4 linked regions of the Rhinolophus ferrumequinum genome follow. The protein of the gene in region 1 interacts with the protein of each later gene in a pairwise test. Links are inferred from orthologs where the notes say so. Each region holds a gene or a part of one and is shown on either strand. Other genes may lie near its edges.

Region 1 (7,472 bases):
CCAATATAATCAATTTTTTATAGTAAAATAAATTGAAATGCAAACGAGGCTTCTCTGGCAAATTTTCCTAATTTTTTGTGGCGCTATCTTGCACAATCCTTCAAGTGACATGAGAATAATAATTTTGCACTTCTCTTTCTCTTAAGAGCGGTACACTCTACCACTTAAGCCAATTTTATTCTAGTTTCCTTTATGTAAGTGTGAAAAAAAGAACAGATGTTTTTCCAAAATTATTTAAGCTTGGAAGACATTCTATCATTTTCTTCAATATAATCTTTCAGAATTACCGAAACCATCATGGTGATACCTTAATAGCTGACTTCTTTAAAGCACAAGCTATTAAATAAATATCAGAATGCAGAGAATTGCTCGACAGATAAAATGTTAATTGTAACAGAATTATATGCCACACTAATTTCATTTTCCACTGTGGACTTTTTAAAAAATCTAGTTGTTCTTCATGTCAAGCACTAAGAGATTTCTAAAACTTCAGGTCCTTCCCTACTTTCTAGATTCCTTTAGATCTTGTCTGATACAACATTTAACTGGAATTATCAGCTGGCTTGATCATACTTTATTATAAAACCTATTAAAATGGTCTTTTTATAAAAGCAGAGTTTGCTCTGTGTTACTCCAAAGTCCTGCAGTTACTAAAGTGAGATCCTGTGGAATGCTTAAAGATCCAGAGAGCTGTCTTTGAGTTATTTTTTTCATTATGCAAAACTTGGCCCAGGAGAGATGGCCATGTACCTCGTTAGCTAAAACAGGCAAGCATGTCAGGACTGCAAATTAATTTAGCAGAGAAAGTTGGAGTGAATATAGAAACCATTCAGGTTTCCAAGGCAGATCTAAGTCTACTGAACTATTAGACAACTTGATGAGGTCAGAATCTCAGAAATGTTTATCCTTCTTGTCTTTTCCCCACTCTCTCACAAAATACGAACCCCTCATTAAGCTAAACCTGCATGACGAACAACAAATGCTCTTCAGGAACCAACAAGTATAGGTACAACTTTAAGTTTTCAAAAGTGGAATTAGTATATACTCTCAAGCTCTCTCAAATCCAATAAGTACAAAATGATATAATCAAGTATTTACTCTCTCTCTCTCCTTATATTAGTTCTTTGTTTTTATGAAGTGAAGGGTTCCAAGGGACCTTGTATGATTATGTAACATGCTATCTAGCCAATGTGATGTAGTTTGGAATAGAGCATCAAAATCCTTCATTTTGCCAATTGTGCCACTATCTGTTAATTTAAAACACCATCCATGTGGGTGCTCATTCTATGTTAATCTCACGTTCCTACCACTTTATATAAGAACTCTGACTTGAGTGGTGTATAACAAGTTTCATTCAATTTTCCCCACCCAAGTTGTGAAGCCCACTGACATCAGAACTACGTAGTTCTCTAAAATGCTAGAACAATACTAGGGTGGTTGCATCAGAAGCAAGGAGTAAGGCAAATAGTGTGTCTACGTTGTCAATAAAGGTAAGTAAGTGTACTTCTCTATATTTGAACCTGAAAACATGAACCCCCTTTGGAGAAGGAGGTGCCCCATGAGTAACCTAATGCAAATTCCTTAAGGAAAATAAGCAATATTCTCCCTCAGATGTTATGGAAAAAGAAAAAAAATTTTTTTTTTAAATCAACAGACTAAGCTTCCATTTGTGGATTGCAAATGCCATCCAATTCAGGAAATCAAAAAAGCTGCCCTCTTATATACACATTTGCTTATTTTTGACACTTTGATGATGACAGAAGATCAGGTTTGAAGGGTACCAGCGTAAACTGCCAGCATGTAGAGAAATCCGGAAGAGCCACCAAAACATAGAAAGTAAGGATGATATCAGACGCATTTCATTTCAAGTCTGATGAGCCGGCATTGAGGGTTTTCCGGCTGGGCAGCTATGCCAAGGCATTTGGGAGATGGGGCTTTTTATTCAGCTTCTCACACTCACTCATACACACACAGCCGGACACACACCTGGGGCACATTCAAACTCTATAATCAGTAGTTGGCATATATGAATGTACATGTACAGATTTTTTTTAAAAAATAGCTTGATATCTGACAAAGACATGAAGGCAACGTAGGTGCAGGGAGTCTGGCTCTAGAAACGTGCACGGCCCCGCAAGTGGTGCCAGAAATGAAACATTTCTGAGGATGAGGACAGAGAAGGCAAGCGGGAGGGGCGGGGGCCGACAGACAACACAGACACCCGCCGCTCCCCACCAACAGGGTGCCACATGGCCCCGGCACGCAACCCCGGCTTACTGCGGGCTCTTGGGGTAGAAGGGCAGGGTCACATGGCTGAGATCCTGGATGTCGAACGCGGTGGGCTCCGCGGAGATCGCCTGCCGCTTGGTGCGCGGCTCTCCCTGCAAGGTGCTGGCGCTCTGCTTCTGCGCCTGCTGGGTGGCGGGCCGGATTACCGAGCGGTACTTGTCCAGCTCGTTCTGCAGCTTCTGGATCAGTTCGTCCTTCTGATCCAACTCCAGCTCCAGCTCGTCGATGAGGGCATCGCGCTGCCTCAGCTCCTCGATCTTCTCCTGGAGCGCGTACTGCAAATCCCGCAGGGTGCCCATGCTCCTCCGGGCTGCCGGGGGCTCCTTCCTGCCGCTGCTGCGCGTCTTGGGGCTTCCTCCCCTCTCCGATCAACTTTCCCCAAAGTCGCCGCTGCCTCCCGAGTGCAAAAGCTTCCTACTTGAGACCAAAGCCAGCCCTGGCTTCTGAGCATGCCCAGTCCGCCGGCTCCAGCCACGGAGAGTTTCAGTGCAGATTCCACTTCTTGGGGCTGACGGAGAGGCTGAGTGTGGGGATGAGCAAAGCAGCAGGTCCAACCCGGGATTAAACCTGACACACGGTGGGCGCCGCAGCGCGGGGGAGAGCAGCAGGCAGCGCGCTGGCAGGGAAGCGGGAGAAGGGGACGTGAATGAGGCTCCCAGGCGGTGGTTGGTCTGCTCGGGTCGCTCGTGCCGGGCGCCAGAGGAAGCCAGCGGTGCGTGTGGGGAGCCTGATAACCCTGTGGGGCGCGCCAGGGGACGAGCAGGCGGAGCGAGGCAGGAGCACCACTTTGGGGGTGGGGAGGTGAGAGAAAGGACAGCCAGGACCCTGTGCAAACTGGGGAGGTGTCAGCCGGCTCCAGAGCTGACCGGTCTGGAGGACAACGGGCTACAATCCTGGCGATTTAAGCGGGCAGAACGCACTCTGCATCCTAAACGCTCTGGGTTCTGGAGGTATTTGGACCGCCAGCCTCAGCAAGAAAGGCTCCCGAGCGATGTGGCTGAGCTCTCCCTTCACCCAAGCCACCTTTCCCACCGGCAGTGCAGCACACAGGTGGCTAACGCTGCAAAGAAACTTGCCTCTCAGGAGATAAGAGCCAATCCATGCCTGGGAGGGATTCCCCCTAACACCCAGGTGCCTTTGGGGAAGGGAGGTTGGAGGGTGGGACGTTTGACCTTTTCTCCCTCAGCATTGCCACTCTCTGCCCGCTCATGACTCCCCTTTCACCTCTCACCCCTCAAAACTTATGTTAATGAACTCTTTTTAGGGTACAGGCCAAAATGGGTTTGGACCCTAAAGACTACTCAGCTTCTCCACTATCCTGAGCTAGTGTCTGCAGAATTGTTCATAGATGGGCATTGCTACTTCCCTTTGCTTAATTTGGGGTGGGGGGGTTGGGGGGGAATCATTACTGAGCTTCAAAAAGTTCATCCTAAAATTGAACTATACCTTTAAAAATATTACTGCCCTGACAACCAAAGTGTTAGGACTGTACCCTTCCACTTGAATGGCAAGACTCAAACTTTGAAAAAGAGGGAAGATCATAAAGAGAAGGGGGACCCAAGTTGGGCTGCAATAAATCGTACACTATAGCACCCCACTCCATGCCTGCCCACTCAAAATTTCCAACAACGATGACTATGAGGTAGCATCCTTTTTTTCCAAGGGTAATTCTGCCATCATTGGAAGACATGTTTAGAATCTCCAAATATTTACTTTATACTTAACTAAATTCCTAATATTTATCTAAATCTTTACCAACTCATCCCATTTTATAGTATGTTTATTAGCAGCCCTCTAATTACTATTCATGGACACTCAGTATTATAAACCTCAATGCTGAATTTGGCAATTCCCTGAAACTAAACAAAGTAGATAGACAATAGTTTAAAACTGAATTGGAATCCAGAACTATTCACTGGAATCTAAACTTAGCCAAGGACGTATATTAGTCTCAAAACAAACTTGCTCACTTTTACTTTTGAATACAAAACTTTCCTATCTAAGCTGAAAAAGAAAAAAACAAAGGAAAGAAGGAAAGAAGGAAGGAAGAACAGAAGGAAGGAAGGAAGAAAAAGGAATGAAGAAGGAAGGAAGGGGAAGGGAAGGGAAGGGAAGGGAAAGGAAGGGAAGGGAAGGGAAGGGAAGGGAAGGGAAGACCAGCTAGCCACAGGCAAGGTAGCAAGCTTTTTTATTTAAAGTGTATTTGTTTGGAATTAGAGGTGTAAATGACAAAGGATATATAATCTTAAACATTCTTCCATGCAGATTATGATCTAATTTTCTCAACACAGATGACTTAAGACACTTAATTTTTCTGCTTTCCAACATGGACATGTAATATACAAAGTGGATAATTCTCAAAACATTTTCATTTGTGATGAACAAAACATGAATAACTTATAAATACTGATAGCAGGAAATGATAGCTCTGAATTATTGTTGTCTTAATTAAAACTAAACCAAGCAGAAGTTCTGTGGCTTTGTATAAGTGACACTATTCTAAAAGAGCTCCTGTGATATTTTCCCTTTCCCAGGCAAAAGGCCAAATTCTTATCTTTTTAACCTATGGGAATTCTTTAATTCCATGGGAAAATGTTTAAAACTAAATGATTTTTTTTCTATTGATCTATTATAGGGTTCCAGGAGGCCAAGAGTTTATGTCTAAAAATACATCAAAAGCAATGTATAAGGAATATCATTAGATAACTGCTAAGCAGGGTTATATTTGAAGTTTCATTTGAGGACTAAATGGGGTTACTTAATGTCTTCAAGCAGCACAAAGTAGAGGATATTCTTTCTCATTTGTAGAAAGACTGTATACATGTACAAAGGAAAATAGAAACTAAAGCATTTCCCCCTCCCCCACATAAAAAAATTGCACTTCAACCAAAAAATATTCGGGTATTTTTTAACAAAAGCGATGTTTTTTTACACTGAATTATATAAATATTTTTCACTATTTAAGCTATCACATCTAGATACAATTATAGGATATATACTCGTACATGTTACATTTTCATTTTAAATGGAAGTCTTGTGATACAAAATATTCCACGATGAATCCCATATTAAAAGTCAAGAATCTGTTTTAATAAGTGCAAACAAAGTAAATGACCAAGAAGATACAACTATTACAACTGACTTACACTTTGAAAGGTGTTCAAGGTATAAAAATATATTTGGTTATATTAGCCTATATAATTTAAGAATAATTTAATTGTATCTTTATAATACTTTAAATACTTTATAGTTATATATGCAAAATCAAAATTCTAGGCTTTCCTCTTACGTTCTTAAAGTCGAAATAAATATTTTATGTACGTTTTTCAATGATGTTCTTAACTGGCTGATTAGATCTTGATTTTTCCATCTCACCTTTTGAGTGATTCCAATATTTTCTTAAACATTTTTTGCATTGTACTTGGTAAATGCTCAGAATAAATTTTATGTGAAAAATCAAGGTCCTGCAGACAAATTTTACTGTATGTCTTATAGTTAATGTAGTTGGCTAAATTTTTAAGATCAAAGATCAGGCACAAGTCTATTTTCTACTCATTAAGAAGTAGCTACCATAAATCTGGAAAGGAGTAAAGTGGAATGACATATACTGAGTTCTCTCACTGCCTATTTGGGATGACATCTTGATGATACATGCTAAAACAGAGAACAATGCAAATTTGAAGGAACCCAATTTATACTCTAGAATTCCATAGTCCACTCACAATCGACTTTTCAGCAATCTGTTTGTAATAGCTCTAATAGAAGCAAAGCTTCTCCAGTAGCCAAACCAACCTGTGGCATATTATTACTCTTCAATTTTGTATCCAACCCTCATGAATGTGGATTAGTATTATGCCTTCCTTAATAAACCTCAGAATTATTGAATAAAATATTAAATAACGCAGTTATTTAATACTTTCTTGAACTCTTAATGCATAGCTAACATTGTTCATGGAACTCTACAAGTTAGACATTATCATTATTTCCATTTATATTTGAGAAAATGGAGGCGCAAAATCACCCATCTAATAAATGGTAGAGCCTGGACTCAAATCCAGATCACTTAATACACAGCTCAGTCCCTTACCCCCACCTTTCCCCCACCTTTCATTTCCTTCTGCAGAACTTCCAACTGTTGCTGCTGTCTTGGTTCTGAATCCAAAGAAATGAGTGTTCTTAGCACTAACTAGCCTGACTGTGGGGCTGGGGAGGTGGAAAGAGGAGTCACTTAGAAAATCCTGCAAAAGCAGGAAACAGATTTTCAAAAAGTTCTTTTTCCCAACACTGTCTTCACTCCTGTGCCATTTCATCCTGGTTCAGGATGACCAACTTCTATCAATTTGTCTGGGATTGTCCTAGTTTTAATACTAAAATTGCTTGGGACTGTCCTGATTTTCAAACTAAAGCGCTAAGTATCCCTTGGTCCTGGGCAAACCAGGATGGCTGATCACCCTAATGAATTCAGGATTGCTGAGCCTCTGTATTTTATGCATATTTTCAAATCTTGCTTTCAAAGTTACTGATAGAAAAGTAAAACCAAGGAAGATCCATTGCAATAATACCTATTATTTTAGGCACATTACTAATTCATGTATGTAATTGTATAAATATGTTTTAGGAAAGCAATCATCCTATTCCAACGTCTACTAATACACCACAGAAATTGTCTTTGGACTATAAAGGAGAATGAATCAGACAATAGAATTTTAATTACACTTTGATGAATTAGACAAGGATTTAAGCCTCTGTTTTCTTTTATTGTTATTATAGAAATCTGGAGTTTAGAAAGACTGGTTTCCTACGGATTAAGCACAGCATTATAAGCACCTATTCACTTATCTCCTATAGAATTATATAATTCTTACGCCTGTGTAGGCCGATAGAGTCAGCCATCAGGAATGCATATTTAAATGCATATAAGTAAAAATTCTATGGTTGGGTTGTTTTGAAGTTCTGCTATTGAGAATGACACATTCTGTACGGAAAAGAAAAAAAAAACCATAAACCATTAATGATGAAAAACTTACTGCAGAGACTTGGAAAGTAATAGTGCATTGTACCATAATTGCTAATGTGCTTAGAGTTTAATACCAAATTACCGTCATGCCTAATATTAGTTGAAATGAATTCTTATAGTCCACAACTTAAAACGATGCTAAGTCATTATTGGGCCTTAGCCTAAC
Region 2 (7,258 bases), on another chromosome or scaffold:
CAGGTAATCAGTGTTGATGACACACTCTGACAGCTTCAGATGACTTTGTAAAGTGCACACCTCCTGACTCTTTAGGCATACCAAAACCAAGCCCACATTTTGTAGACTGAATATAAGGGTCTTTCATGAGATTATCACCTTTTAGAACAAGGAAATGGAAAAACCCAAGCCAGTTTTCTTTTAAAAACTCAAGACTTTAAAACAGTTTTAAGAGTTCCCTGACGCCTGACTTGGTTTTCTTTTTCCCCCACAGGTTAGACGGAAGGACTTCCAGTCTCTTTTCTGAAAAATAACATACCCAGCATTTTCCATGCGCATCAACCCAGAACTGCATCTCTTCTCTTTCTACAGTGCCTGGTCTTACTTGGGGCTTTCAAAAACACTGAGGGAACTTTAACACCGCTGGATGCCCTGATGCTGATGGTGCCAACCAACTGTGAAAGAGGAGAATTTGCACTTAGCTGGTGCCAAACTGCCAGGAATTAAAATGAACTGCTCTTGTTATTTACCGGGTGATGCTGGGGGCCACCGACTGTGTGGCAGAGGAAATCTCCAGGACCAAGAATTCTGGCTGTCTTTCTGTCTAAATGTTTCATTTGCATATGCCTAGGCAAGTTTTTATCTGTCATTTGGAGATGTGGATCGCACTAACCCAAGTGGGCTTTGAGTGAGTACACAACAAAGCATCTGGTAGGATAGGGTTCCACAGCAGAGAAGTTAAGCAAAAGCTACTGTGATGGCCTGAGACAGGAAAGAACAGGTTAAGATATTGGCTCTATCTGTCTTTCTGTAATTAACGATAATATCACATTATCTTTGGTGGATGTTCCAAGCCAATAACCGAGTGGGATTCACCCTCAAATTAATATTTTATATTCTTCTAGAGCCTATACATTATACCTGAAATACATGTCAGCCTGGATTTCTGGGATAATTTCTCGACAATTTCTGAGTGAGGGGAAAAAAATGTGCTGCAGTAATTCTTAAAACTACCTTCCATCAGCACCTGCCTTCACTGGGCAAATAGTGACACATAGGATGGAATAGATGAGCTCCCTTCAGTGTGTGCCTGTTGTGCTATGAGGTTAGGGTGTTTCCATTTTCTAATATTAGTGGAAAAGCACAAACTTTGAAAAGAGCAAACTTCCTTTAGGGCACCAAAACCTCCAGATTTATCTTCTAATAAAAAGATTAGTGACTAAGTTCTGCTATTTGAAAAGGCATTAGGCACCAATTCATCCAATTCACTTACTGCGTTACTGTGGTCTTGCTCAGGCTCTGAAAACTCCAGAGCTAAGTTGTAATTCTAGGTTTGTAAAAAAAAAAAGTGAGAAAACCACCCTTTAAACCCAGTGTCTGTGCATATATATATAATTTTTCTCCTGAGAACTTAAGGAAGCTGGGTTTTGTTAGAACAAACCTAGCTCCTTATAGAAATGGTGTCTGAACCTTCAAGATTGAAGAGTGATGTTTATATTCTCATTGGATCATGGTACTTCCTGTGTTTTATGAGAACACGCTGAGCTTTTATGCTGGTAACTGAGGGTAAAACCCAGGTATATAAACACCACAGAAGGCTGAAACTGGAGTGGGGGCGGGGGAGGGGAGAACTTCAATCAGGAAAGCACAATTCTTTTAAAGCAGGAAAAGAAAAGAAAACAAAACAAAACAAATGCCTCTTAAAAGCACAAATGGACAAGTCATTAACCAGCTCCTTTGGTCTGTGTAACAAATCCCTTCAAAGGATTAGATGGGGGACTTCAAAGGAATAAAATTTCTCAAAACCAGACAGCTAATGAATCTTAAAAGGGCATTTGTGCTGACGGGAAAATATCTTAAACAACCCTTTCTCCCCCTGTTAACACCAAGGAATGAGCTGGAGGTAGATAGGTTGGGAATAGGGAAACACTTCAAACCAGTAAGAGGCTCAGGAAACAAATGCGGCAAGCGGTCGTTAGAGCTCTGGCTCCCTGACTCCTTGTAGACTGTGATAAAAGATGTAAGACTCGGCTCCCCAGAAAAATTCACCTATACACAAAATGTGCACTAACTTTCGAGGTTTACAAGGACCCCATCGGTGGACTCCGAGGGGAGGGGGGACATGCACCCAGATTAACTCCGGATTTAGCTGCTCTAAAGTCTCTGCAGGCCAAAGCGAGCTCCGAGGTGGACGCTCGCAGCCCTCATCCGCCCGTCTTTGACTGTGCTGGCGACTGCTCAACCAGCGGGCCGGGAAGGGGGCCGGTGGGGACTCAGGGTGAATCCACTTGGAATGTCCCCCTGTCCAAGACCAGATGGACAAAGAGAAAGGGGGCTGAGAACAAGCTTCGTGGGGAAAAAGGGGAAGAATCAAGCCCTGAACGCTCTCGGGACGGCACCTACGCGCCTCCGAGCTCCCCGCTGTGCCTGCTCCCCTGTAAACTTTCTGGCCCGCGGCGGCTTTTGGGAGTGTTCCAGGTAGCCCAGAGGGGCCCACAGAGGCGCCGGGCTGACCTCCTCTCCCTGCCGCCTGCCGCCGAGCCACTCTCCCAGTGCCCCTGGAGTCACCCGCAAGCCAGGGGGAGCCCCGCGCAAGGCGGAGTGAGCCAAGGGCACGCTGCGGGCGCGCACCTGGAGCCTTCTAGCTGGCCGCCGGCGCCACCCTGCTGCCCCGGGGCGCGAGGCCGTGGACGCGGTGGGTGGCAGGGGCAGGAGCGCCACACTTACTCAGACGGGTCCAAGCTCTTCCTCTCGATGGCCGAGGACATTGGGGAGGGAGGTGGCGTGCCAGGCGGCGGAGGCGCTCCCTTTGTGGCGCAGGGCTGGCCGGCTGCCGGGGCTCGGACCCCCTCCGGTGCTCGGGCGCCGCCGCCGCCGCCGCTCTTGCACCTCCTCTTGCTCTGGCGCTCTGGCGGCGAGCTCGCCCCTCCGCGATCAAGGACAGTCACCGCGCTCCCTTCAAACGCCAAAGAGAGAGAGCGAATCACCGAGCTGCCGGCGCGCCGCGGCCGAGGCGGGGAACCGGGCGCGCAGCCTGGCCCGGGGCGGCTGCAGCAGCAGCAGCAGCAGCTGCTGCTCAGGACTTAACCTTCCATCCCGGTCCCGCCGCCGCCACCCGGTCCAGCTCGGCTCGGCTCGGCTCGCGCGCTGTCCCCGGCGACGCGCCGCCCGCGGGGATGGTGCGCGCCCGCCCGGCCGCCCCTCGCCCCTCGCACCTTCAGCCCGGGTCGCGGCGCGCAGCTCGCCGCAGAGGGCAAGGAGGGGGCGGCGGCCTGGGGGCGGGGAGGGGACCTTGCCTCTCTCCCCGGCTCCCTCCTCTCTCGGGAAGGTCTATTTTCGCTCAGCTTCCCTCTGTCTCTGGTTTCATTTCCTTTTTCCTGATCACGATTCAAATACAATAGAAGGAAATCACATTTAAAGAGACAGCTGCCCGGTCCCCCCCCTCCCTTTTTTTCTTCCTTTTTTTTTTTTTTAAACGGGGCTCCTGGGGATTTGCAATACAAACAGTAGCAGCAGCAGCAGGACAGACTTGGCTTCTTAAAGGGGCCCGCGTCGGGGACGGGGAGAGTCGCTCAGTGAACACCTCTCCTTGGAGAGGCGGCTGGGTTGCCTCTAAATCAATTCTCAGGGCTTCCCCTCTTCGGCGTTTCCCTTTTGGCTAACTAAGACTGAAAGTAACAAGCGGGCCGCTCAGGGAAGAAAGAAAAGACAAGAATGTGAAATAAGCACATACAGAAATGCAAGCGTTCCGAATGGCTTTCGCGCGCGTCCGGGGTTCGAGGTCCCAGGTCCGCCGACGCGGTGCGCGGGGATGCCCGGGACAGCGCGGCTCTGCTGGCTGCGGGCTTGTGACTGCGTGCGCGCTCTAGACAGGCGGCTGGAACTGTGCGAGCAGGGACCACACGGGCTGGGTACGCCAGAGCAGTGTCAGGGCAGCTAATCCCGGAGGGAGGGTGGTTGGGAGGGACCAAGCTGTTCTGAGTCTCCTTTCCATCTGCTGGCAGCAGAATTCCCTCCCTCAGCATCTTTTAAAAATCGGACTCCTGCGGTTAAACCGGCCCCCTATAAAGTGCCAGTAATACTCTGCACAGAGAAAGTGCCTTTCCAATGATCAAGAGCAATGATCAAGAGACTATTTTGCCTCGGGTCAGGGAAAGGGAAGAAGCCAGACTTGATTTTGAAGTTCAGGTTTCCCCTCCAACCTCAGGGAGAAATTCTAGGAAGAGGCAGAAATGCAGAAGGGGAGAAGATGAGGCCAATAGTCTGCTCTCTGTTAGAGAAAAACTTTGGGTCCCTTGGGCCTCATCAGAGTTCCTTGAAAATGATCACATTCAGAAATTATTATTAAATGCCTATTTGTACATGACACCAGTCACAAATCTTGTAAAGAGGAAACTACCAAGCACTTTCAGAATCCATAGTTTTTTTATGAACCGTCTGGACCATGGTGATAGACATTTTATTCCCATTTTAAAGATGGCACTGAAGGGCCTGGATGAGTTCACCCTGAAAGGTGGTTTAAGTCAGAGGTGAGTCCCTGGACGCTTACTTAATCTGAGGAGGCAGTTATTGGGTTGTGACTCTGGAGTCAGACTGCCTGCCTGCCAATCCACCATTTCCCACTTGTGTGAACCTGGGCTAACAGCAGGAATTGAAACTCTCATTTTCCTCATCTGTAAAATGGGGATGCCAGACCCATTGTATCAGTTGATGTGAGGATTAAATAAGTGAATGCATGCAAAGTGTGGCACATAGACTTTGTGGGGTGGGGGTAATAATAAATATGAGATTTAATGCATGGAAAGCACTTGGCATATAACTGGCAGCTGCTATGTTATAGCAAAAGACATCATTGGGAGATTTTAAAAAGAGCGTGAATCCAGCAATTCCACATACGGTTATTTATCTGAAGAAAACAAAAACACTAAGTCAAAAAGATATATGCACCCCCATGTTCATTGCAGCCTTATTTACAATAGCCAAGATATGGAAACAATTTAAGTGCCCATAAGTGGATGAATGGATAAAGTGTTATACATATATACAATAGAATATTAGTCAGCCATTAAAAAGAATAAAATCTTGTCATTTGTGATAATATACATGGACTTAGAAGGCATTATGCTAAGTGAAATAAGTCAGACAGAGGAAGACAAATACCATACGATTTTACTTATATGGAATCTTAAAAACAAAAACAAAACAAAAAACTCATAAATACAGAGAACACACTGATGGTTGCCAGTGTGTGTATGTGTGTGTGTGTTGGGGGGGTGGTGAGCAAAATGGGTGAAGGGGGTCAAAAGGCACCAACTTCCAGTTATAAAACAAATAAGTCCTACATATGTAATGTGCAGTCTACACAGACTAGACAAACTATAGTTAATAATACTATATTGCGTATTTGGAAGTTGCTAAGAGAGTAGATCTTTTTTTTTTTAAACTGTTTAAAAATTTTTTTTTAGTGTATTTTTCCAGGACCCATCAGCTCCAAGTCAAGTAGTTGTTTCAATCTAGTTGTGGAGGGCACAGCTCACAGTGGCCCATGTGGCGATTGAACAGGCAATCTTGTTAAGAGCACTGCGCTCTAACCAACTGAGCTAACCAGCTGCCCCTAAGAGAGTAGATCTTAAAAGTCCTCATCATAAGAAAATAAATTGTAACTATGTATAGTGACAGATGTTAACTAGACTTATGTGGTGATCATTTCACAATATATAAAAATACTGAATCATTGTATTTTACACCTGAAACTAATATAACGTACGCCAATTATACCTCATAAATAAATAAGTAAACAAACAAACAAAGCAAGCTTGAAATTAAATTTAAAGGTGAAATGGGGGTTTCAGATAAGAATTTCCCACCCAAATTACAAAATAACTCTGTTTTTAAACAGCAAACAGAGCAGGGTCCCTTTACCTTACCGCCTATTGCTGCTCAACAAAACATATAAACATTTTCCATCTTAATGTTCATTATCTTGGTGACTAGATGATATGTTTGCATCTCCTTGTTTTGATTAAATCTGATAAGTTACTACTTTCTTGCTACAGTTTTGTATGGGCCTCAAGTTAGTTGTTAAAATAAATATATCCTTGGGTTCCAGGAGGTAACCATTGAACGGCTGATTCTGGCGCATAAAGTTTCTTTTTAATAATATGCTTCTGTTTTGACCCAAGTGCAAAGAAAGAGCGATTACTGCCTATGACTTTGGGTTAGTTTCTTATCTTTCACAACTCTTTGGGGAGAACTTCCTTAGAGAAGTGAATATTTGAAATGGTATCTTAAGATTTCAATTTCACACACAGTGGTTGGAAGAAATAACTGCCTACCGGTGGGATTTCATTTCTATTCAATGGGCAATTAAATTGCTCAAATTTAAGTTTAACATTTAGAATCAAGTCTGAAAATGTGTTTTTATTATGAATATTTTAAAGCAATCATGACCTTATTGTCTCTTTCCATAACAACCTTCTACCTTACGCAGAAGAGGGACTCAGTAACTATGAGGTGATTTAAACACGTAAAATGGTTTTTGAGAGTTGGGGAAATCTGTGCTTGATTCTTACCCAGTGGGATTGTAATTTAATTCTTCCCTTCCCTCACTCCTCTTAAATCTTAAATACCCTAAAATTTAGAAAATTTCCAAGTTTTCCTTCCTGAATGTGAATGTCAGAGGAAGACTGAATCAGTCTGTATGATGAATCTGAGCCCAGGTGGATTAGTTCTTTCCTGTTGGCGTTTTCTATTCTTTTGGCTTATTACATTTACGATTGTTTTCTAGGGAAGAGCAGTTTCAGGTGACTAAGGCTACATTTCTGTGCTAAAATGGACTTCTAATAGAAATGAAAATGCAAATGTCATTGGGAAAATGCCAAGAACGACAATTTACTTCTTTCATTTCTTTTCCAACCATTAGAAGCCAAGTTGCACGATATGCCTGTTATTTGTGACATTCACATATAGGAACAAAAATAAAGATTTGTTTTGATATGGCTTCAGTTCTCATGAAAATTTCTTAAACTACTCAATTGTCAGAGGCACCTGGCTCCCAAACTTATTTCAGAACATTTCATGGCTGTTTGATGGAAATGTTTTCACAGAATGTTTGACCTGTTAGTAACCTTACTGATAAAAAAAAAAAAAAAAAACAAAATCAGATTTCTTATACTGTAGAAAAGAGCCCCAAAATATAGATATATCAAAAAAATGCACATCAACTGAGTTCAGAAGAATGAGCATAGCTGCCAGACAAACATAGCTCAGCTGTTTACTA
Region 3 (7,595 bases), on another chromosome or scaffold:
TCATCTCTATCCCATGGATTAAATTAAATAGCAATCCTAGCACAGATCCTGGCAAAGGTAGGAACTCAATTTATATCGATTTTCTCTCCTCCTTCCTTTTACAGTTATTTACTTACATGGGAACTCAGTTCTGTCTCTTTCCCCTGATTCACAGAACTCTCCAAGGCCTGGGACAGAGTCTGGGGGCTCCCAGATCTCTCCTTCCCATCCTTCCAGGCCTCTGCTCCTCCTCAGTCAGCAAACGAATCCCTCTGCTGACTTCCAAGCCACAGAAAGGATAGTTGAGCAGCAGACCAGTGACTCCATGGGTCTGCCCAGGAGAGGTGCAGGATGGGGAAGGGGCAGATGACCTGAGGCCCCCACCTTGCATCCTCTCAAGCCAGGCTAGAAGCATCTGATCATCAGGCACACATACATAATAAACCCAGGGCCCTGTTTAACCAGAACATACTTTATGAGCCTTACGTCCATCTCCTCATAAGAAAAAGAAAAGAAAGACCCTGAGCACTTAGTTCACTCCCAGCATCGTCTGGGTATAGAACACACAGCGGAGCCTGAAGCGGGGTGTCTGCTCTCCCAGGGCTGTTTCCACTCCTGCTGGAGGTGTGAGGTGCATCCATCCACGTTTATTGCCAAGACTTAGAGGAAAGAGGCAGGGACTCTTGGGGACGCTGAGAACCGTTCGGGTAGTTCAGCCCCTCAGGCACAGAATCCTCTCCCAGAGACTCACAGAACCCCTCACCCTGAACTCACTGGTCCCCCTTGCAATTAGTTTCAAGTGGAAGGTATTACATGGCCCTAACTATTCTCATCCAAGATACTAAATCCTCTGCTATGTCACGTGGCAGCTAGGTGACCTTGGGCAAGTAATTGAACATTCCCTAATCCTAGTGTCCTCGTCTATAAACATCCATCCCTCGTAACATTGCAGGAAAGCACACATGAAATCACACAGGGAAATCAGACACAGTGTTGGAAGAGTCCATGCTCCCCCACTACCCTCTCAGAAATAGAACCACCTGGAGATGAACAGAGCATGGTACTTAAGAGTGGACCTTCCAGACATGGGCTGCCTGGGGTCAAGTGCCAGCTGTGCTAAAATGTCCCCATCTCTAAGATGAGGGTAGTAACAAGGATGCCCGCTTTGTAGGGTTGTGGAAGTCTTGAATTACTACATGGGACGTGCTTAGAACAGAGCATGGTGCATAGCAAGAATGGCATGTTTGTTTTTTTTATTTTTCTTCCAGAAAATAGGTTGATGGAGATCATTGATAATGTAGCAATTAGCACTTGTTTATATCTACCAGACAATCTTAGAGAGTATGCAGCTATGTCCTACTTACTACCAAGTATACAGGAAGGTATATTAGCTGTGAATACACACACACACACACACACACACACACACACCACTAAATTATGGACTGAACAAACATGATGATGACAACTGGTTTGTCCATTAGGTCAGAAATCACAAGACATATTCAAAGCAGGAGTGTACTCACACTAGCATTGGAGTTAGAGTTATACAGACTTGGGTTAGAGTCCCAACTCTGTTCTCTCTTAGTGGTCTAACCTTAGGCAAGTCACTTAGCCCAAGTTGCATCCCCATAAAAGTGTTGGGGCAAGGTTGGAGGAGTGAACTCCACCTGTCTCACCGGCCTGTCATTGCCCCCTGGTGGGTACAACGTAATCTTTAGCAGACTCTGACTCCCTAGTGCTCCCAGCCTAACAGTTCTAGGAAGCTTTCTCCTTTTTCCTGCAGGAGACCCAGTTCAGACAAGCCCGTAGGCTGATTTGTCTCCCCCTGAGAGTCCTAACGAGCAGACTGAAGAGCATCAAAACAGCAGCTGCCTAGCTCTGGGAGGCAGGAGCACTGGCCAGGGGTTCTAGACCCTTTTCTCTGTTTATTCAAACTGCAGAGCATCCCTGGGCTTTACAACTGTTTACTGAGCAGAAGGAAGCAAGACAGCTGGGCAGCCCTCTCTGGTTTCCACTGGCCTTTCTTTTGGAGAAAGCCAGCCTGAGTGCCGCTCACTCGAGGAATATCTTTGACACTGAGCTCCTGGAGGTGAGCAGGGCTTGGGGCACAGATTGGGCACACGCAACCCCTCTAAGGAGCAGGGAAAGAGCGCGGGAAGGGAGGGCAAAGCTGGAGATAGAAGTAGAGATGGGGACAGATAAAAACAGGAGCTCTGACCAAAACACAGGACAGGAGGGGCAGAAACAGAAACAGAGTAGGTCAAGGATGGAAACAGGGCTGGGCCAGCACAGGGCCCAAGGTGGACACAGGGGCCACACCGAGTGGGGGTGGGGGAGCAAAAAGAGGGGCAGTAAGCACAGAGCTGAGCTGGGAGAGGGGTAGCAGGCAACGCAGGCTTGTGTAATCTGGGGATCCTCTATTGCCCCAAAAGGGCCCACAGGAAATCTGGAGGTGGGGACCTCCAGTCAGAACCCGTTTTCACCCTAACCTGTGCAACGCTTTCCAACAGCAAGCAAAAGGAGCACGATTTAGTTTAGTTAGGACTGGCAAGATTCACTTATTTAAAAATTATGACATAAAAATACTCAGCTGAAATGCCACCCCACAAGCCAACGCCCCTGCAAAGTTAAAGTCAAGCGCCCCCATCCCAGCTCCCTGTACCTTTAAGGAGAAGTTTCCCTCCGCTTCCCGGCTGAAGAGGCAGGTTATTCTTGGATATAGCGATGACTTACCTAAAACTGAGTTACTCCCCTTCCTCCTCTGGCCAGCCTCTCTTCACTCTGGGGAGCTTTTACCATTTAAGGTCAATGTTACATCTGGCTCCGGAGCGGAGCTCCGAGCTGAGAAGCCTCTGGCTGCGAAGCCTCGGCCGCCCGCCTCCTCCGAGAGGGGCTGGGACTTAGAGCCCAGAGCTCCTCCAGGAGCCCCCTCGGGCCGGGTTCAGGGGACTAACGTCGGGGGAAGCTGACCAGACCCTTCCAGGGCTCGGGGCAGGCTGGGCCTGTGAGGCAACAACTCGCCCTGGAGAGGGCACCTGGTTCCCCGCCCCCCCCACGGGCACCCGCACAGTGGGTGGCAGTGCCCATGGGCAGCTCGTGTCACTGGGCGCTGTCCTGGCTAGACCGGTACCGAGGGAACTCTGCAGATCAGCCTCCCAGCCTGGAATCTTCAGCAAGCTTGTGAGCCTGGACAAGACCCTGGCCCCACGCCAGGAGAAACTAGGAACATTTCCTGTCCGGAGATCGGGGGGCAGGGGCTGCTCCCACCTTAAACCCTTGGGATTGCCAGAAAGAAGGGCCTAGAAGGTTCAGCTAATCGGAGACCGGGCACCAGCCCCAGGGACTTCAATCCCTGCTCCTCTGCTGAACAGCCCTGTGATCTTACCATCAGGGAAGCTCAGTGCCCTGGTCTCTAGAGTGGGGATAATAGTGATAACACCTAACTCATAGGGTTGTAGGAGGATTAAATGAGATAATATTGGGGGGGGTCTTAGCACAGTGCCAGCATCTCATAAGTGCCAATCGGCACACATTCGTTTCCTGTCCGTGCCCAGACACAGGTGAGGAAGGGCTGCCTCTCTCCTGGAAGGCCACGCCCTGTCCCTACTCCTCACCCACCTTGGGTGCAGTGCTCACCTGGAGCCAAGATGATGGAGCTCCAGGTTCTGGGCAAGTCACGTGGGAGCTCCAGCCCTCTTCTGAGGTTAGAGGCATCTGAGAGAGAAGCCCTGGGTAGGCTTGCCCAATAAAATACAGGACACCCACTTAAATTTGAACTCCAGATAAACAACACATAACTTTTTTAGTATAAGTATGTCCCAAATATCGCCTGGGACATACTTATACTAAAAATATGTGGGTTTCTTTTTCAATCTGAAATTCTAATTTAACTGTGCATCCTGTATTTTCATTTGCTAAACCTGACAACTCTAGCCCTGGGCCATCACATGTCACCCATAATGTATTCATCAGTCATGCTGAGAGTTCTAGGGATTGATGCTTCAAGGCCTGTGACCTCAAGCCATTCTGGTGGTGGCCGCTTGGCTGTACACAGTCCTTATCCCCAGCTCCTGGCCATGGGTCAGAAACCCCACTCATGACAGTCTTTCTCCACCAAATCTGGCCCACGGGGCCTCCATCCCAGCCCCTTCCACGGGCATCTAGTCCTGGACTATCTCTCCTCCCTGGTTGTTATGAGAGAGTCCTGATGAGAATGCAGGGCGTGTTGTCGGTTACACTCATAAATAATTGTATTTTTGTAGATGGAAGCAGAGGAGATTGTCCTGGGTACTAGCCATGCTTTTCCTCAGGTATCTATACCTACCCATCTGCTGGGTACTGGCTCCTACTGGCAAAGCCACATGGTGCTAACGACTAGAATTGCAGGTATAGGGACTAGGAATTTACCAAACTCTTTAACACCATTTCTCCAAATTCATTGTGCATTAGAATCCCCAACTATGAAACTCCTTGGATCCCTCTTCCAGAAATGCTAATTCCATGGGTCTAAAGTAGGACCCAGGAATATGCATTTTAATTAAGACCTTCAGGTGATTCCAAGGACCACACACTTTGGGGAATTGTGCGCCAATGATCAATCTTATAAAAATCCAGCAGGAGTTACTACAGAGACAACCAGAAACATAGGTTGAAATGGAACCATCAGCTTTGCGTACATGTGAGGGAGAATGTGTATGTGTGTGTGTGTATGTACAAACTGTATATTGAGCATCTACTTTGTTCCAAACTACAGTATTAGATTCTGTATATGAAAGCATGTATGTCTCCTCACAAGTGCTCCATGAAAGAGAACTATTATACGTTTCCATCAAAAAGGAAACTGAGACTTGAAGAGGTGAAATAACTTGCCTGATGTTCCACAGCCAGTAAGTGGTAGAGCTAAGGTGTGAACTTAGGCAGTTTGGCCCTGCAGCTCTTTCCCCTATACCATACCTCCTCCCCTTCAGCCAAGATTTCTTAAACTAGGGTTCGTGGATAGCTGTCAGGCATCACTGAGCCAACTAAAATTGTATGCAAAACACCATGTGATTTGTGTTTTTCTTGGGTATAGGCCCACAGCTTTCACCAGACTCACAAAGGAATCACCAAATAACTTTTAAAATCAATTTATTAACACAAGAATTTCATAAAATACATTACTGGAACAAGCTCTATAGAAGACAATTTAGCATTATCAAGATTAAGTCTCGTATCCTTTGACCCAATTCCACTTTCAAGAATTTATTCTACAAATACACTCTCACACCTGGGAAATGACAACTGAACAAGATTATTCATTGCAGCTTTGTGAAAAAAGCAAAAGGATTAGAAACAACATAAATGTCCACCAATTGGGGGCCATGATGGGGTACAACCATCACAAAGGATAAAGAAGCTCTGAGTACTGATATGAAAAGCCTCCAAGATACATGGTTAAGTGGAAAAAGTAAGATAATAGAACAATATATAAATACACACAAAAAAATATACTTACAAGTTCAGATAATTTAGTTCACGAACTCATCCTAGAAAAAGTGCTACATATCTCATTGCTGAATATCACTATGGTCACCTTCGAAGTACTCCCCTTGGGAAGCTATGCACTGATGCCAGCTCCTAGTTCTCCCTTCAAAGTAGTTTTGGAACTCTTTTTCTGGAATGACCGTCAGAGCTGTCGTTGTATTACCCTTGATGTCCTGAATGTCATCAAAATGTCTTCCTTTCAATATTTCCGTTATCTTTGGGTAAAGAAAGAAGTCATTGGGATCCAGATCAGGTGAGTAGAGAGGGTGTTCCTATACAGTTATTTGTTTTCTGGCTAAAACTCCCTCAGACAGGGCTGTGTGAGCTGGTGCATTGTCGTGATGCAAGAGCAATGAATTGTTGGTGAAAAGTTCAGGTTGTCTAACTTTTTCACGCAGCCTTTTCAGCGCTTCCAAATAGTAAACTTGGTTAACTGTTTGTCAATTTGGTACAAATTCATAATGAATAATCCCTCTGATATCAAAAAAAGTTAGCAACATTGTTGCAACAAGTTCGTGAACTTAATGGTCATACTTCCTATATTCACACATACACACTCACAAGTATATATGTGTGTGTACACACAATCTCACTAATATTAGCACAAGAACCAATAATATTAGCTGCCCTTGGGGGAGAGGAACTAGTGGAGGGAAAGAATATCTATCTTACTTAATATATGTGAGGTTTTGAATCATACTGGTATGAATAAATCGTGTGTTTACATTCAAAAATAATGAAACAAAAACATTGCTGTGAACAGGGATTTAATCAATCCATCTTTCAGCACGGCTTCCTCCAGACATCAAAGAGTGTTGGCATAAGCCTGACTAAAGGTATTTTTTTTTCACTTTTTATTTTGGAATAGTTACAGACACATGGACGTTTTAACAATAGTACAAAGTGTTCCACGTACCCTTCACCCAGCGTCCCCCCAGTGGTGACATCTTATATGGCTGTTGTATAATATCAAAACCAGGAAGTTGGCATTGGTACATTACTGTTAACTAGACTATAGATCTTATTCTAAAGATTATTTTTAAAATAAAGCCTTCTCACTGCTCGTTTATTCATTTAAAAATGTTTGTTGTGCCAGAAGAGTGTTGAATAATGGGATGCGGTAGGGACACCTCAGACCCATCCCTGCCCTCATGGGGTGTAGACTAGTGAAGGTGACCCCTTTATTCAAGTGGGAATGGCCTCACAGAGGCCCAGGATCCAGCAGTGCACAAGCAGGGCTGACCACAGCTCTAAAAAAGGAACTGTGTCCCTTGCTGTCCTGGTCATGGAGCTTCACAGCTTGCCTGAAGCTGACTTTTCGTCCTTAAAAGAACATGAGCAATTACTCAGGCTATATTTATCCCTGTTCCTGGAGCCACACAGGGATTTGGCCTCGCTCTACCAAAATCTTCAGCTCATCACTCATGCCCATCGGAGACAATCATATGTCCTCAGCATAACAACAGTGGGCTGGTGGAGGCACACTGACACACAGCATGGGGATGTTCTCCCCACAGGCCATTTGACTCAAGGCCAGGGAAGTTTTAAAGTCCCAGGCCAGAAACACATCCTAGGACCAAGGGAAGCCAAGCCAGGAGCAGCAGCATCTTGCCAAGAGCACTGCCCGCTCAGACACTGAGTGCTGAGATGACCACACTGGGAGATTTGACTTCTCTGCCCCATTTATACTTAGGGACTCTGAGATATGCTCAGCGTTTAGTAGGCCCTGGATGAGTAAGTGAACAAATCAGTAGCCACATCAGCAGGAATTGCATCCAGGAGACAGTGGCAGGTGTCATTTACTGAACATGATTCCAGATACTGCGTGAGCCACTTTACATATAAGGTCTAGTTCAGTCCTCACCAAATCTACGTGATATAGGACTTCTCACCCCCACGTCCTAGATGAGGAATCTGTGACTTGGAGAGCTGGCCAGTGTCTCAGTTTGTAAACACAGATCTGACTCTAAGTCCTCAGGTGTCGGGTTCAGGACAGCAGACCGGGAACATAAGGTGTCTTCTTTCCCTCCCAGGATCCCATTAACATGATAGCAAAGGACTCTGTCAGAAGGAATAAATCCTTAGCCACA
Region 4 (7,513 bases), on another chromosome or scaffold:
AGTCTCTTCTCATAAAAATTCACAAATGGTACCATTCTGCATAAGCTTGAGGCAATACATGGACCCCAAATTAAGGATCTCTGCCTTAGCGGATGTGTCACTTGAGCCGAGTCTTGAAAAAGAAGAGTAGAGTTGCACCTGGTGGAGAGGCATGCCAGGTGGAAAAGGGCGTAGCTGGCAAAGAGGGCAGTTTGACAAAAGCAAGGACCTGGAAACACCCTGCTGATGTGGCTAGATGCAGGGTACAAGGGTGGACCTTCCAAGAAGCAAGGTGTGTGAGAGAGAGAGAAGAAACCCATAGCATGGGGGCTTGTAGGCTACGCTGAGCTCCTCACCTTTTATAGTGACAGAGCCACTAAAAGTTTGAACGGGAGAGAGACATGATCAGATCTGTGTTTAAAAAATAATAATGATAGCAAATATATATTGAGTGTTCTCTCTGTATTTTATACCCAACATTAGGCAGCTATATGAAAGCTAGATAGGGTAAGAGGGGGCAAGCTCTAGAAAAGCAGGGAAACTATGAACAGCTTTTTGATAACTAAACGAAACTTCAAGGGATTTGTGAATATGTGGCAAACACAAGACTAATAAGCACACACAGAAACTATGTTATTTAAATGCAGGCCATTCTACCTGTATCTTTAAGGCTGCTACTGAGGCAATAAGAATTCTTTAAATAATTCTGTCCTGTTACAACTGCAAACTTTTGTGACAGGCAGAGAATAGAAGCTCTGGTGTCAGTATTGTGTTTTCCTGAAAATAAGACCTAGCCAGACAATGAGATCTAATGTGTCTTTTGAAGCAACAATTCTTATAGTAAAAATGTCTTATAGTAAAATAAGACTGGGTCTTATATAATTGTGGGGACAGAGCCAGGAGAGCAGTTTCCAGGCTCTCGGCCTCATGAGGAAAGGTGCTGGCTTGGGTAGTAGATGGCCATCAGCTGTGACTAGTTGGCCATCAGCTGTTACTGGTTAGCCATTAGCCACTGATATAACTGCCGTGACTGAGCTAGCAAGCGCAGATTGCAGTTAGCAAGGGGTTGGTTGGCAGAGAAGTGGACGGCAGGTTGCCGATCTTGTGGCTCCTGCTTCCTGCGTCTCCAACCCAGCCACCTGCGAGAATATAGTGGTATGACTCCCCTATTTGTGGCTCTATTGTTGTTTCTTTTTGGCCTCACCGTATCCTGTGTTCTTGTGCGGGGAGCGGGAACTGAGACCCCACATGACACCCTGCATGACAATAATATAATATTATATATAAGACCAGTTCTTATATTAATTTTTGCTCCAAAAGATGCATTAGAGCTGATTGTCCGGCTAGGTCTTATTTTCAGGGAAACATGCTCTGTTCAGCAAAGCCATTCCCAGGAGTCCTGGCAGCTGTCATGTTGCTCGTTGGGATCCTGGGGTGATGTCACCCTCCTGGGTCAGGGATTCCTCTCCACTCATTTCTCCAAGAGGGAGACCTTGGAAAAAATATCTGTTTTAGGTGAGCTCTGAAAATTGAAAACAAATGGACTAGTTGGTGCTTTATTTAACCTAGCTGAAAATGAGCTGGTTAATTTTGCTTTCTTCTATTCACGGTCCAGCTAACTAGAGGCAGGAGTGGGGGGAAAGCTAAGGATCTTCAATTAAAGTTGATAAATGCCACACATACAAAGTGTGGGAAAACGTAAGGGAGTTCAGTATTTGGAGTCAGGTTACTCCACTGGAATATTGTTGGGTTCTGAACCATAGAGGATCACAAATTTGGATAACAGGGAAAGTCCATTACAGGGCAAATGCTTTAGGGTATAAAGTCCCAGATTTGGGCTAACAGTGGCAGTGGAGGCTGCAAAGAAGAGTGGGGGTGGGCCTGCAGGAAGGGGGCTGAGTAGGGAGCCCTTCTTTGGGACTGCTCAGACCCATGGGTCCATTCTGGACCTGGACTCTCTTTCTGCCACTCTCACAATGTTGCCAACCTCTGAAATTAGTCTAAACCTCCCAACCTTCCAGGATGGAGATTTTCTGTCTGGGCAGCTCCAGCCCTCCCCCAGACAGGAAAAGACACCCTTTCCTCCTGGGTCGGTAAAGGCATCCTGGACATGGCGCTGACTCTGCATAGGGAAATCCTCTAGAGATAGGGGCTGGATGGAAGACTTTACAATGACTTTCACCTCCTAAGAGACATTCAGGAAACCGGTTTTGTTGGGAGAGGGCTAATTAGTCTCTGAAGGTTTGGGGTAACTGTTTGAGTCCATTGAAGCGAACTCAAACTCTAAAGCGAACATTTCTCTAAATAGGTCTTCGTCCCACGATCTTTATTCCACCTGTACCTAAGGCAAATAGTTATGGGTGGGGCAGGTGCTCGAAGAGGTGAGGAAGTTCGGCGGGGGAGTGGAGGAGTTGGGGGTGGGGGATCTCGGAAAGCCATAAAATGAAAAATGCTATCCTCTTAGACGACTTCTGAAAGAGTTTTAGGTGCCGGGTGTCCTACCCTCTTTTCCTCATGCCCAAGCCCCCACCCCGGACTTCAGAGGGCTCGGGAGATACAAGAAGAAAGTCCTCACGAAACAAGTGCAAGAGCATCCCTTGTTTGTCTAACGATGATCTCGGGGACACTGCATTTGCCTGGCACTCCACATCATCTCAGTAATAACGGAGGGCAAGAGGGGCTGAGGCGGGGGCCTGTGGAGGCGGGTATTCTGAACCGTAAGTCTTTCCACTTTCCCCCATCCCTGGGGTGGGTCCATCCTGCCCCCAGGAGCCATGGACCACGCAGCTCGGCTCTAAGGGCGGCCTGGGGGGGCGCGGGCCCGCCACAGACCCTCTGACTTCCCTGGGGACCCGGCGAGAGGGGCAGCTCCCGCTCGGCCGCTGGGTCCAGGAAGGTCCCGGGCCGGGTAGGAGCTGCCGCGCAACTCGGAGAGCGCCCCCCGCCCACGGCCCGCGTCGGCTCACCCTCCGGTCTCTGCGCCCGAGTCCACGCAGTCATCCTCCTCGCCAGCGCCCTCTTTGCGGTCCATGGCGCGCTCCCTGCCGCGCTCTGCTCGCGGGCGCCGGCGTGACCCGGGGCACGCTCCCTCGGGGCCGCCCAGCACGGTGCAGCCAGAGCTGGCGGGGCTGGCTGCTCGCGTCTCCACGCCCTGGCTAGGGCAAAGGATTCCAGCGTCCACCGCGGTCCACCGCGCCGCGCCCTCTCCTGGCCACCAGGGGCCGGGCACCAGTGGCCGCCCGCCCCGCCCCTCGCTGCTCAGCGGGGTGAGCCTGTGCACGCTATAAGTGCGTGCACAAGAGGGTGTGTACTCCGGGTGTGAGGGTGTGCGCGCGGTGTGTGTATGTGAATGAGGGTATGTGCACGCGCAAGAGGGTGTGAGCGCGAGTGTAAGCGTGTGCGCGCAGATGTGCACATGTGCGCGAGCATGTGTGAGCTCGCGTGTTGCGCGCCTGTGTGTGGTGTGCGGGCACGAGTGGGAGAAGTGTGTGAGGTCGCGTGCGCCTGTGTTTGTGGTGTGACGGGTGAGGTATGTGTTTGGAAGTGCACACTTCTGTGTATGTACTGCACGCGATTGCTCCTGTGCCTGTCTGTGATTTGTAACCGCGGGCGGCGTGTTTAAGTGCATGTGTGCCTGTGGGAGCCACCCCTTTCCCCTGGGCCCACATTCTGTGAATCAGAGTCCCAGGGATTGCCCCGAGGTTCCCAAGACCGGCGCGGCGAACTGCGCGGGGAAAATACCCCACCGCACAGTGAAATCAAGTAGGGATCTGTTTCATTTCTGGAACGAATAGGAATATCCAGGTGTTTTCTTCTAGTTTCCTCAGAATTGCCAACACGGAATTCATTATCCCCTTTCTTAGCACAGGTCTGAGTGGCTTCCCACCATCCAACTTCCCAGTTTACAATCGGTGCCATGCATCGTTGTGCTATTTTTTAACAAAATGTCTTTTAAAATAAAGACCATTCAATGTGCATTCGTTCAGTCAGGGGTTGTTGCAGTAAGGGGATAGATGTTCGTAAAGTACCCCTGTCAAGACCTGGGGTGAGTTAGTGATCATTATTGGAGGGACTCGCTTCTCTTTGTCTGACAAGCTGGGATGGACGCTTAGGGGGCGGGGAGACCAGAACCATTGGGTTTAATTCTGACAGCCCCGTCCAAGTCAGTAGAAGGCACTCATTTCTACTTTCTTCTGTTTTAAGACAAGTTATTTAATCTCTTTGAGGCTTAATTTACTTATCTGTAAAATAAGGCTATTGCTATCTACCCGATAGCCTGTTGTGAATTTAATGAGATCATGTATGTACAATACTTAACGTTGGTCCTGATACCTGCCAAGCGCTAGTCACAGGCAGCTATCGCTACATTTAAAGCCAGCTACATTCCCAACTTGCAAAGCAGTGTCACTCTGGGTGACAAGTGATACCATAAAGAGGAATATATTGTTTTTCCTCTCTCCTGCTTCCCTCCCTTTATTTCTTCCTTCCCCACCTAAATATCACTTTCTGATGCTTATCTTAATTAAATTACACAAAAGAGAAAACTAGTAATAAAAGAATAGAAATGCAATCTCCTCATCAGGTAAATATGCCAACCCCGAATCTTAAGTGTATTTTCCTTACTGAGCATAAAATTCCTTTTACACAAAACAGAAATGAATATATTCTACTCAATTTGTGCTCATTAGCTGAGAAAAAGGAACATGCCAGTTCTTCAGAGGAGATTTCTCCCGACCCCCAAGAAAATTCTCACGCGACAAAATAAATTTTGTGAGTGATTTACTACACAATGCCATTAATGACGATTTTAAATTTATCAGTTCATTCAATGATTTAACCAGATAGGAGAGTGAATTCTGAATATACAAATGACAGAAAACAGCAACAGATATGGTGCCTGCCCTCACAGAGTTTGTAATCCAGAGGGGGAGACTAGTTAAGTGAATTAGATATCTTGAAATATATAAAACATAAACAGAGGTAAATGCTATGAAAGAAAAGCATAGTGCGCCCCGAGAAAAAGGGAACATTTTAAATTTGAGTGTCAGAAAGGGATATTTTAGCCCTCTGCTGCCTCAGGGCCTTTTTGTGTGCTGTTCCTTCTTCCTGGAATACTTTCTGCCAGATTTTCTGCAAGACTCCTGCTATATGTGCTTCATGTTCAAATGGTCCCTCATCAGAGAGCCCTTCCCAACTAATCCTACATCACAGAATCCCTTTACCTCTCCTACGCTTTCTTATAACTCTACCAGCAACTAGCATATGATAGATTTAGTTACTAATTACCTGCTCTTCCCTCCCCAACTTTACTCCAAGAATGCCAGCTCCATGAGAGCAAAGGCTCTGTTTGTTCCCTGCTATATCCCCAACACCTGGAGCAATAAATAAATAAAATATATCCATTTCTTTTTTACATAAAACTAATTTTATGCTTAGTAAAGATAATTCACTTAAGATTTGCGGTTGGCGTATTTACCTGTGTTTTTTCTTGGTTATGAGATTACACTTCTATTCTCCTTTTGTGAATGGGTAAATGAAGGGGAAACAGACCCAGCGTGGAGGTGGGAAGTGAGGAGAGTGTCCCTGGTGGGGACCAGCAAGTGTGAGGCAGGGTGGGGCACTGAGCATGGATTAGAGGGGGAGTAAAGTAAACCTAGGTGACTGGAAGAACACAATATGGCAGAGGTGATAGACATTTCTATATAAATGTGACATCTCCGGGAAATCAATAGACAATTATTGCCTATTTGGAAAGTGGAAGAAGAAATACAGTGTCAATGAAACCAGATGAAAGGGAGTGATTAAAGTGGAAAAACAGATAAGTACAATGAGCATTCTACCATCTTGTTATTCTTATAGCTACTATAGCTTACAATCTACCTTTGTCTATTCTGTGTAGGGTTAATTCATATTTGTCACTTCATTTAACCCTTGACAAAGAAAGTTCTATGAAGTAGGTGTATTTTTCCATTTTACAGTGGAGGAAACTAAACTGCAGCGAGTGCCTGCCCCAGGCCACCCAATGAGTGAGTGGAGAAGCCAGGTGACCCTTATATGCCATGGAGTTCTAGTCATCTACCTGGAGGGCTAATGGATGGGCCAGTCCATTCTCAGGAAGACTGCATTAAGAAAAAGTCAGAGAAGAAAGAGTGAAATTAGCATGGCCTTTAGAAGGAGGGCTGTGGAAAATGAGATGCTACTTAAATTATTTCAGTCTTTTTTAAATATACAGAGAAAGGTCAGACCAAATAAAAAGCTTGGGCCACATCTCAAAATGATGCATTGATTCAGGTCCCCTCGACCAAAGGGACACAAGTGTTATCATTTATCTTTGGCACAGTATCTGATGGCAACTCAGTGATGCATTTATTATCTGGAAGAAAAGTCTGAATGGTAATCACTATCCCTCTGAGCTGATGTATCATGGTTCTGCATGGGCTCCCACTTCAATCCTCGGGTCTGAGGAGCCTCATTTTATTTGTTATTTTTTTGGAAATAGAGCTGTCAGCAGGGAATCAGCAGGGGGACTTGCAGTGATCACCATAGGGTATCTTGCCCATTATCTTGCATGGTTCCCTGGCTCTACTTCTAACTATTTAGCATCAATCACTTTAATCATGGGAGTACAATTTTCTCCTTCCTCATCCCTGCAAGATGGGAGCAGAGGAGTGTCACTGGTTTGCTTCGGGTGCTCTGCCTGCTGCCCTAAAGATTTTCCCATCAGAGTCTGAGGACAGTGTGGGAGGAATGCTGAGGTATGGCAGGAAGTGTAATAGGCCAGGAAACGCAAAACCTGACCTCTGGACCTGAATCAGTCATGGCACTACCGTGTTTCCCCAAAAATAAGACCTAGCCGAAAATTAGCTCTAATGCGTCTTTTGGAGCAAAAATTAAGACCCAGTATTATATTATATTATATTATATTATATTATATTATATTATATTATATTATATTATATTATATTATATTATACCGGGTCTTATATTAATTTTTGCTCCCAAAGATGCATTAGAGCTGATTGTCTGGCTAGGTCTTCTTTTCGGGGAAACACAGTAGAAGAAAAGGGTAGACCATCAACTGTTTTAAAAACTCTCACTACATGTCAGGGATTGTGGTAGGGATGTTACATTCATGATCTCTTTAATCCTCAACAAAACCTTATAAGACTCCCATTATCCTTAAAATGGGTGTTGATATAAATCCTCACAGGAGACTTGAAGCTCTCTAGAAACTATGAATCATATAAATAAGACGTCACTGATTTTTTTAAATCACTTTTGCTCAAACAGGTCTGAACAACACTCTCATGTTGTATTTCACCGATAATACTTGTTTTAGTCTTTGTTGAGGTTGGTATTAGAAAACAAGTCCATTCATCCATTTATTTATTGAGCACTCACTGTGCCAGGCAGTGGCTGGGTGCCTGGGACACATTGGGGAACAGGCCAGAAGCAGTGGCTGGCCTAATGGAGTTTTGAGGTCAGGAGAGGGCAGTTTATTATGTTCCAGGCCCCCTGGGTAAGGCCAGGCTTT

The links.
Region 2: the proteins of PRKG1 (region 1) and LMO2 interact in binary tests that used the Homo sapiens proteins (3 or more experiments, as listed by UniProt). The two-hybrid records come from large-scale screens. The link is inferred for Rhinolophus ferrumequinum from reciprocal best matches to the Homo sapiens genes PRKG1 and LMO2.
Region 3: the proteins of PRKG1 (region 1) and IRAG1 interact in a two-hybrid assay, tested with the Homo sapiens proteins (2 studies listed by BioGRID). The link is inferred for Rhinolophus ferrumequinum from reciprocal best matches to the Homo sapiens genes PRKG1 and IRAG1.
Region 4: the proteins of PRKG1 (region 1) and FAM124A interact in binary tests that used the Homo sapiens proteins (3 or more experiments, as listed by UniProt). The two-hybrid records come from large-scale screens. The link is inferred for Rhinolophus ferrumequinum from reciprocal best matches to the Homo sapiens genes PRKG1 and FAM124A.

The regions. Positions count from the first base shown.
Region 1 is NC_046299.1:34,130,790-34,138,261, reverse strand, and holds the start of PRKG1 (cGMP-dependent protein kinase 1), read right to left. Parts: upstream 3,026-7,472; 5' UTR 2,589-3,025; coding exon 2,278-2,588; intron 1-2,277. UniProt on the Homo sapiens protein: Serine/threonine protein kinase that acts as a key mediator of the nitric oxide (NO)/cGMP signaling pathway. GMP binding activates PRKG1, which phosphorylates serines and threonines on many cellular proteins.
Region 2 is NC_046294.1:23,927,958-23,935,215, reverse strand, and holds the start of LMO2 (rhombotin-2), read right to left. Parts: upstream 3,353-7,258; 5' UTR 3,075-3,352; coding exon 3,068-3,074; intron 2,936-3,067; coding exon 2,707-2,935; intron 435-2,706; exon of another isoform or gene 319-434; coding exon of another isoform or gene 299-318; intron 1-298. UniProt on the Homo sapiens protein: Acts with TAL1/SCL to regulate red blood cell development. Also acts with LDB1 to maintain erythroid precursors in an immature state.
Region 3 is NC_046294.1:41,872,641-41,880,235, reverse strand, and holds the start of IRAG1 (inositol 1,4,5-triphosphate receptor associated 1), read right to left. Parts: upstream 3,032-7,595; 5' UTR 2,645-3,031; intron 1-2,644.
Region 4 is NC_046287.1:86,534,143-86,541,655, forward strand, and holds the start of FAM124A (protein FAM124A), read right to left. Parts: upstream 3,014-7,513; 5' UTR 3,011-3,013; coding exon 2,946-3,010; intron 1-2,945.